Linked DNA regions of Callithrix jacchus. The protein of the gene in region 2 interacts with the protein of the main gene of each other region in a pairwise test. Links are inferred from orthologs where the notes say so. Each region holds a gene or a part of one and is shown on either strand. Other genes may lie near its edges.

Region 1 (4,735 bases), on a different chromosome or scaffold from region 2:
CTAGGATAAATGACCACATACGATTATAACGGAAACTTCAATTCAGAGCATTGAATTTAAATTTTTTTCTGAAAAATATTTTTCTGTTTTTCTGGAATACTTTTAATAAAAATGTCGCAATGCCATTTATTTTGAAAAAAGTATAACAAAAAAAAATCTTTTAACAAAATGTTCTTCATTTGTTCTTGAAAAAGTAAAGAATTGGGTGCTTATAATTCTCTGTTGGAAACCTTAACTTTATTGTTGTGAACATAAGCAACTCACTCTTTATCATTTGTTAAATTCATGAGAATAAAAGACTAGTTTAGCTTATTTTATCTCTTCAGTGAAGCATCTCATTTAAATGACATGCTCAACACTGAAAAGAGCATAATTGCAAGTCTGTTACCATTTTCCTTTTCTCATTTCCCTGAGCTGCTGGCTTTTTTGCTTTCCCAACCCAGTATGTGGCACATAGAACTTTATGCTTGATTCTCATACCAAGCATGGAGAATACAATAGCTTTTGCATATCGTTTTTAATGAAATTTAATAAAAAAATAAAAATAAGGAAGCTTTTAAACCTCATTTTCTTATTGTATCAATGATAATAATCAATTATTTTTTGTTTGATAAAACACAGTTTATAAAAATAAATGTTTATATTTTTTCATTATGCCAAGATATAAGCCATTGATAGCTTATTAAATTGCCCAGTTTCAAGTTGTTTTAGTCCCTTTATGTTGCTATAAAGAAATACTGAGACCAAGCAATTTATAAAGAAAGGAAATACCGTATAAGAAGTATGGGACCAGCATCTGCTTCTGATGAGGTCCTCATACTGCTTCTACTCATGGCAGAAAGCAGACAGAAGCAGATGTGTGCAGAGAGAGAGGGAGAGAAAAGGAGATGCCAGGCTCTTTTCTTTAAGAACAGCCAGTTCTTAAAGAAACTAAGAAAGAGAACTCACTCACACCAAGCCATTCATGAGGGATCTTCCCCCATTATCCAAACACCTACCGTCAGTCCCCACCTTCAACAATGGGGATAAATTGCAATATGACACTTGGCAGGGCCAAACAATATCAAAACCATAGCACTAGTCAATTATAAATTCAATTGACTTTTCCTATCGCAGTATTATTTTACATAGTTAAGTGGAAGTGTTTACACACACAAATCATCAAACTACATTACTTATATAAGACATTTATAGTTTTTAAACTAAATAAATTGCATTCAAGTAAGTACCTCCATTTTTGTTCTTTTAAACAATTACTTATTCTACTGCTTAAATTATGCTATGTTATATTTCAAAATTAATTGCTAATGCATACCTATACAATTTATTCTTAACAAAAGCTTTATGACTGAGTTTTCAATCACAGTGTTACATAAATTTCTCCCGTTGCTTCATATGAAATAAATTAAATGATCCAAAAATTAACCTGCTGTAATTTTTCTCTTATTTAAAAATGATGATATTTTGCCACAGTGTTCCACAAATCATTGAACATTGTGGCATGGTGAATTTTCAACCAATTTAGAGATGTCAGATATTATTATGATTATTCATCACTGGTTTACTGTAAAATCTATTTTCCTTTTTTCTCAGAACTGAAGAGAGATCTGGCCAAAGACATAACCGCAGACACATCTGGAGATTTTCGGAATGCTTTGCTTTCTCTTGCTAAGGTACAACTCAGATCCTGTAGGTAATGCCTCTTGTTATATAAAGAGTAATTTTGTAGTCCATTTTGTGTTGCTATAAAGAAAAGTCTGAGACTGGATAATTTTTTTAAAAAAAATGGTTTACTTGGCTCATGATTCTGATGGCTAAAAAGTTCAAGACTGGGCAGCTGTGTCTGGTGAGAGCCTCAGGCTGATTCCACTCCTAACAGAAGAGGAAAGGGAGCTGGTGTATGCAGAGACCACATGGCAAAAAAGCAAGCAAGAGAGAGAATGGGGAGGTGCCAGGTTCTTTAACAATCAGCTCTGGTGGTCTCATGAACAAGAACTTATCCCCCAGAGATGGCATTTTTCTCTTCGTGAGAGATCAGCCCCAGGACCCAAATATCTCTCCTTAGGCCCTGCCTTTAACACTGGAATCAAATTTTAACATGGGGTTTGGAGGGGAAGAACATCTAAAACCATTGCAAGTAAAATCTTGGATCTGAGCTCTTTCTAGAAATGAGTAATAGAATATGTTTTTCTCAAAGAATATTATTTATCTGAGTTTAAGAGAATTAAGTAAATCATGCAAGTACATGCTAGAGAAGAGTTTACAATAGAATGGGATTTCTTTCAGGGTGACCGATCTGAGGACCTTGGTGTGAATGAAGACTTGGCTGATACCGATGCCAGGGTAAGCAAGTGCTTACAAAATACTGCTGCAGTCCATCTTCCTACCTTAGGTTGTGCTACCCCATGATGCCCTGTGAAAGTAAATCTAAGATCTTCTGAGAGACCAATGGCTTGTTAATGTTCATTTCCTGAATGAGGCATGCCTTTCTGTAGCCCAAGAGAGAAAAAAAATGTAGTCTTTAAGTTTTCAATATCTCTCATTATTCATCAAACCAGAGAGAACTGAAAAAGAACAATACAAATTTGATTTGTCATTCCCAAGAATTGTTTGTTGAAAAAAAACCTCTGAACTCTTATTGTACTAGGTATAAGAAGGGGAGAAGTAATTTTTTTATTATGTGTAATGGAAAGAGTAAACACATTTAATATTATTTTTAACAGAAAACATTGGAATGGTTTATAGATGTCAATTTATAATGCTAAAATATCATTGTAATGATATTAAATTAATAATATAGGATAAATTATAATAATATAGACTTTCTGACATATTGTTTTATATAGTTTCAGTGACATTGCTGGTTATTTATATACCAATCCACTCGCAACATAAGAAAAATCATACCATCTTAAGGCCTGGAATTTCCTCTTTAAACAAACAAACATGCAACTATAATTTGCATTATGCATTCTCATGGAACAGTATTCTCTAGATAATTCATTACGATGATTCACTAAGAACATATTTTTTGCGTATCTTCATCCACTTCTGCTATACCAGTACATTATCATGCACATAATAGGTACTCACTAACTTTTTGTTGAATAAATGCATACATTTCAGATCAGTTTGCTTGACAAGTGCAAAATAACTTTTATGTACATTGGAGGTTTTATCATTTTAATAGAAATTGTGCAAACATATTAAAGAACAAGAATTAGCATTGAATAATTGCCCATAATAAAAAATTCTTATTTGCTTTTGACACTTCTGAATTTACTTTCCATTTTAAGACTATCAGGGTTCTTACTACATATGTATGAAGGCTACATGGATTAATGTGACCCAAGAGAATGATGGTAATTAACATTCCAAAGTTAATAGACACTGCTTATGATAATAGGGCAGGTATTACGTTTTCCATATATAAAAGAAAAAAAATCTATACTTTAGTAAGGTTCAATTATTTGTCTAAGATGATAAATTGCAGAGTCGGAATTTGAATCCAGAAATTCTAACATCAAAATGCAAGGTCCAGGTTATGGTTGAATTATTGATTTATAAGTAACATTTGTTGATAATTACTTCAACATAGAGTAAGAAATCCTTTTAGAGATCCCCTTGGAGTTCTCTTGATATAGAGCATAATCTTAAAGCCATTTAGTTCAGCAAACATTTATTCTGCAAACATATATTCAGTCTCTAGTGTTTACAAGATACCTTGAGAGAAACTGTGGAAGATATTTGACAAGCAAAATAAGGTCCCCATCTTTAAAGAACTTGAAATCTTATTGTTGACTACTCTGATTGTATTGAGCACAAAGCAACTGCCTAATCTTTGACAAGGTCTAATATTCTTGTGCAGATATTACTTCAGCAGATAGTGAAGTATTTACTTTTGTGTTTCTTGACAGGCCTTGTATGAAGCAGGAGAAAGGAGAAAGGGGACAGATGTAAACGTGTTCAATACTATTCTTACCACCAGAAGCTATCCACATCTTCGCAGAGGTAACAAGAAAATTTTTTTCTCTGGAATCTGTTTATGGAAGATGTAATTTTCTTTTTTGAGGAAAAATAAGAGAAAGTAAAAACAGAAGACTTTAGCAATGTCTCTCCTGTATCAAATGGCTATAGTATTCCTGATCCATTATTGTTATTTGCCCATTGTCCAATTTTATACAGTCACTATTTTATAATATTTAATACCATTTTGTGACTTGGGCATGTGGAATATCATTTCATTATTTTCACTGCTTTTAATTCCCTAAAAGCTTTGGAATATATGTGGAAAAAAGACATGCATAACAGAAGAAATGAAATTAGAATGAAGAAAAACAAAACAAAAAACCCTCAGAGTTAAATGAAGAAAAAAATATGTAGGTGCTTTGGAAAAACAACAAGACAAAAATCAGAAATAGGTCTAGCCTTTGAGCACAAGATTTAGCTCAGCCTCTCAGAAGCCAAAGCAATGGAAAAGTAATGATGATTATCTAAAGTTTATCATCTTATAATAGCATACTGATTTCTACTGTTAAATGTAAGAGAAATTCAGTGCCTAGGTCTTTATATGAGGAAAGATCCATTTGCTGTGGCTCTTAGAACTGCTGTAGGGAGTACTATGGTTGTCAATCACATGCCATTTCTAATAACTGTCAACACTTGCAAACATTGTCCCAAAATATAGAGGAGTACCAAAATGGCCATGTGAGTTACATTCCTGGGAGAGGATTAA
Region 2 (4,735 bases):
CACATGTACACCACACACACCCCACACAAACCCACACATATACCACACGCGTACACCAGACACATACCACATACACACACACCACACACATACACATATACACACCACATATATGCACACACACACCGTATACCACACATACACACATGTACACACACACCACACACATACATACATACACATATACAACTACGCCACATACATACACACCAACACATACACTATACATATACATACACATACACATACACATACACCACACACGTACACACACACCACGCACATACACAGGCACACATACACACACTGCACATACACATACCACACATCAGACACACATACCATACACACACACCACACGCATACACACCACACATACATGTACAGACATATACATACACACACTCCTCAAGCAGGCTATTCTCTGATAACCTTAAATTTACAAAAGACAGATGTCCATTACCTTGAGAAGTACAGGAAAGAACCCACTTTCCTTTCTAGCAGCAGCAGGAGGGTCCTCCCAAGGCTCCTGCTCCCTGTAGTAAATCACCTTGTTGAAGACATTCACAGGGTTGGGAACCTGGGGCTCCTGCATGGGATGGTGCTTTGCTGATTACTTCACCTCTGATTTCTTTTCACTTTCAGAATACATAAACCAGTCTGTTCCCAAAAGGCCTGCTGGCTCTGTGCAGAATCCTGTCTACCACAATCAGCCCCTGAACCTCGCGCCCAGCAGAGACCCACACTACCAGGACCCCCACAGCACCGCAGTGGGCAACCCCGAGTATCTCAACACTGTGCAGCCCACCTGGGTCAGCAGCGCAGTGGACAGCCCTGACCACTGGATCCAGAAAGCCATCCACCAAATCAGCCTGGATAACCCTGACTACCAGCAGGACTTCCTTCCCAAGGAAGCCAAGCCCAACGGTATATTTAAGGGCCCCACAGCTGAAAATGCAGAATACCTAAGGGTCGCACCACAAAGCAGTGAATTTATTGGAGCATGACCACAGAGAATAGCACCAACCTTAAAAATCCAGACTCTTTCAGCACCAGGACCAAGCACAGCAGGTCCTCCATCCCAACCGCTATGCCCGCGTTAGCTGTCAGACCCGCAGACTGGCTTCCCCAGCGTTGACACTGATCAGTCAGGAAGTGCCTCCACTTGGGGCACACTTGGCAAGTGGCAGATACATTCCTTTGTTTTCGAACTGTGAAGCTTTTACAGAAAGGCATCCAGCAGGAAGTTCTGAGCAGAAGTTTATCTTTCAAGGAGGTATATTTGAAAAAAAAAATAAGTATGTGTCAGGATTTTTCTTGATTGGGATCTTGGGGTTTTTAATTGTCACTATTGATATTTACTGCAGTAAGCTCTTCCAACAGGGAAGAAGCTTGCTGGTAGCACTTGCTGCCCTGAGTTCATCCAGGCCCAACTGTGAGCAAGCCACACAGGCCTCAAGTCTCCAGCAGCGATTTGATTCCAGCGGTTCCGCTCACGGCTTCCGCCCCACAACACTAAAGGTCCAAGAATCCCTTCATGGCCCCAGCAGGCCACATCGGTACTGTATCGAGTCATGGCAGGTACAATAGGATAAGCCACTCTGTCCCTTCCTGGGCAAAGAAGAAACAGAGGGGATAGAATTCTTCATTAGACTTACTTTTATAAATATGTCTCCACGGTACTCACTCCCCGCTGGTTGACCAGTGTTTTCCGGTCGTGAGTGTTACACTGACTCGTCTGTCTTCCATTCCGTCATTTTGAAACTCAGTATGCTGCCCCTGTCTTGCTGTCACAAAGTCAGCAAGAGAGGATGACACATCCCATAATCACTCGGATTCCAGCCCACGTTGGATTCATCAGGGTTCAGACCAGTAGCCCACATCTGAGAATGCAGAATACCTAAGGATGGCGCCGCTTTTGTTCTCACAGAAATACATCTCCTAATTTGAGGCTCAGATGAAATGCATCAGGTCCTTTGGGGCATAGATCAGGAAACTGCAAAAATGAAGCTGCTCTGAAATCTCCTGTAGCCATCGCCCCCAACCCCCACAATGAGTTTAGGTTACTCATGGAAGATCATTTTCTCCTTTTACTTCACTTTAAAAGCTTTTTACTCAAAGATGTTCCTTCTGCTCCCCAGACCCCATCCTTGCCCTTTGTCAAACAAAAAGTGTCTCGGCCCTGAGGCAGCTATTCAAGCACTTACAGCTCTGGCCGCAACAGGGTGTTTTACAGGTGCAATGAGTAGCATTAGGAGTAGTGTAGAATTCAGGGGGTAAATAGGAAACCAGGGTTTGAAACTGATAATGCTTTCACAACATTTGTAGATGTTTTACAAGAAGAAAGTTCCTTTCTAAAATAATTTCTCTACAATTGGAAGATTCGGCTAGTTAGGATCCCAGCTTTCCTAATCTGTGTGTGCCTTGTAACCTGACTGGCTAATGGAAGTGCTTTGAAAGGAGCCTTTTAAACTCTTCTAGGCAATATCCACCAGATCCAATTTATCAAGGAAGAAATGGTTCTGAAAATATTTTCAGCCTACAGTTATGTTCAGTCACACACACGTACAAAATGTTCCTTTTGCTTTTAAAGTATTTTTTGACTCCCAGATCAGTCAGGGCTCCTATACTTTTGTTAAGAGAATATTTGATTTTTGTCTCGATGAAAATAAAATTACATTCATTTCCACTCCATTATGCTCTCAAATACCCCTAAGTGCCTATACCAGCCTGGTATGGGTATGAAAGATACAAACATAAATAAAACATAGTCCCCGATTCTGAGAAATTCACAATTTAGCAAAGGAAATGGACTCATAGATACTAACCTTAAAACAACATGACAAATGCCAGACAGGGCCCGTCAGCCAGACACTGCGAGCACAGAGCAGGGACATTGGGTCCTACCTGAAGAGACCTGGAAGGTTCATCAGGAAGGCCTCACAGGAGGATGACCAGTTCTCAGCCACAGGAGAGGTGGGAAGTTCAGTTGCAGCAGGGGGGGACCTCGACCAAGGAAACAGCTGTCAGAGGCCTCCACTGCTGGAGTCCATGTAAGGCTGAGGTCAGTTGTCCCAACAACCCTCTCCCTCTAAGCTACGGGATGACCTTGGAGCATCCCACAAGTTCCTTGAATGTTGTATCCTGCTGGGGGATTTTGAGCTCTCATCTCTGCACGTGCTTAGTGAGGAGACTAAGCCACATTTCTAAGACTCTGAGATTTTATATCATTGTCAGTAAACCACTTTCATTATCCATTCACCTCAGGACATACAGAAATATTTCAGCCAGAACTGAGAAACAGAAGGACCCACATTCTGCTATCACTTGTGTGTCAAGAAGCGGAAGATCAGTGAGGCACGTCAGTTGTGAGTCACATTGTTGCAGTAAATCCTAGTATTTTTGTAGTTTGAAACACTAACATAATAAAAGAACAAACGCTATTCTAGCTTTCTTCTCATTCATATTTTAATTTTCCAGTGTAAAGTTTAGTTGCTAAATTCTATTAATTTTAAGATTGTACTTCCCAAAATAGTTCTCACTTCATCTGTCCAGGGAGGCACAGTGGTCTGCTTGGCAGAAGCTGCAAAGCCACGAGCCTCTCCAAGGATCTGGCCACCATGGTGCGCAGGTCAGGAAAGGAGCTGCCCAAAGTCCCATGATTTTCACCTAACAGCCCTGATAGGTCAGTTCTCAAAGCTTGGACTCCATCCCTAAAGGTCTTCCGGATTGCTAGCCTGGCCTTAACACACTACAGAGAACCTGTCAGCTGTTTCTTCCTCAGTCAGTTCCTGGAAGACCTTTGCAAGGACTTCACCTTCAGATGTGACCTTTGGAAACAGAGGCCACGGGAAGGTAAGGAGCTGGGAGCTCCCATTCACTTTGTGTGTCTTCTTGCATCATCTCCAAGGAGCTACTGTAATTACACCCTGCCGGTCACCTCATGAGGGATCAAAGAAGGGATGAGTCTTCTAAACTCTATTCTCTGTGAGTCTAGGTTGTAAGGAGGAGCACTGTGGACGCATCCTACTATACTCCAGCTGACGAAAACCAAGCTTAGGTGTTTACTGAAAGTTCTTGATTTTGTGATTTACCACCCCCGCCCCCCCACCGCCTCACAACAGCAGACATAAGGGGACTGTGGATTGCTTAGAGCAAAAGGCACTGGTTCTCCAGCGTGGCTGCCGTTGGCAATCTCCGGGTCCCAACCAAAAGTATTGTGGCTTGATTTTCTCAGGTGCAGCCCGGCCCTAGGGCCTTGTCAGAGCACCCCCTGATTATTGCAACCTTCATCAAAGTTTCCAGAACCACTGGCCTAAGGGAAGGGCCTGGTGGGGGTCTGCTTGCCGCTCGCTGGAGGTCCTTCCAGCCAGTACCACTCTCACTAGGCCTCTGATTACACCTGTGTAGCTTCAGGCTGGTGGGTGATGGGGACTCGGCACCTCCCCTCAAGCACAAGAGAATCACCTGCAGAGCTTCAGAAGAGGGGGCCTGGAGTCTCTGCAGACCAATTTAACCCAAATCTCAGGGGCGCTCTCATGATTCTAATGGGTAACCAGGGTTGAAGCCCTTATCTCTAAAGTCTTCAGTTCAAGACTGTGGGTCTGTACCAGGGCCTCCAGTCAAAGTAGAATAAAAGGCTGGGTAAGGTAGAGGTTCCCATGTGCAATGGAGAGAACAATTTGCAGTCACTGATAAGCCTGAGACTTGGCTGCTAGCGGCCGTTCCAAAACGC

What was found. The genes of interacting proteins can lie anywhere in the genome.
Region 1: the proteins of EGFR (region 2) and ANXA1 interact in binary tests that used the Homo sapiens proteins (3 or more experiments, as listed by UniProt). The link is inferred for Callithrix jacchus from reciprocal best matches to the Homo sapiens genes EGFR and ANXA1.

What each region holds. Positions count from the first base shown.
Region 1 is NC_133502.1:91,671,240-91,675,974, reverse strand, and holds part of ANXA1 (annexin A1), read left to right. Parts: intron 1-1,593; coding exon 1,594-1,673; intron 1,674-2,286; coding exon 2,287-2,343; intron 2,344-3,917; coding exon 3,918-4,011; intron 4,012-4,735. UniProt on the Homo sapiens protein: Plays important roles in the innate immune response as effector of glucocorticoid-mediated responses and regulator of the inflammatory process. Has anti-inflammatory activity.
Region 2 is NC_133512.1:22,667,845-22,672,579, forward strand, and holds part of EGFR (epidermal growth factor receptor), read left to right. Parts: intron 1-645; coding exon 646-1,007; 3' UTR 1,008-4,735. UniProt on the Homo sapiens protein: Receptor tyrosine kinase binding ligands of the EGF family and activating several signaling cascades to convert extracellular cues into appropriate cellular responses.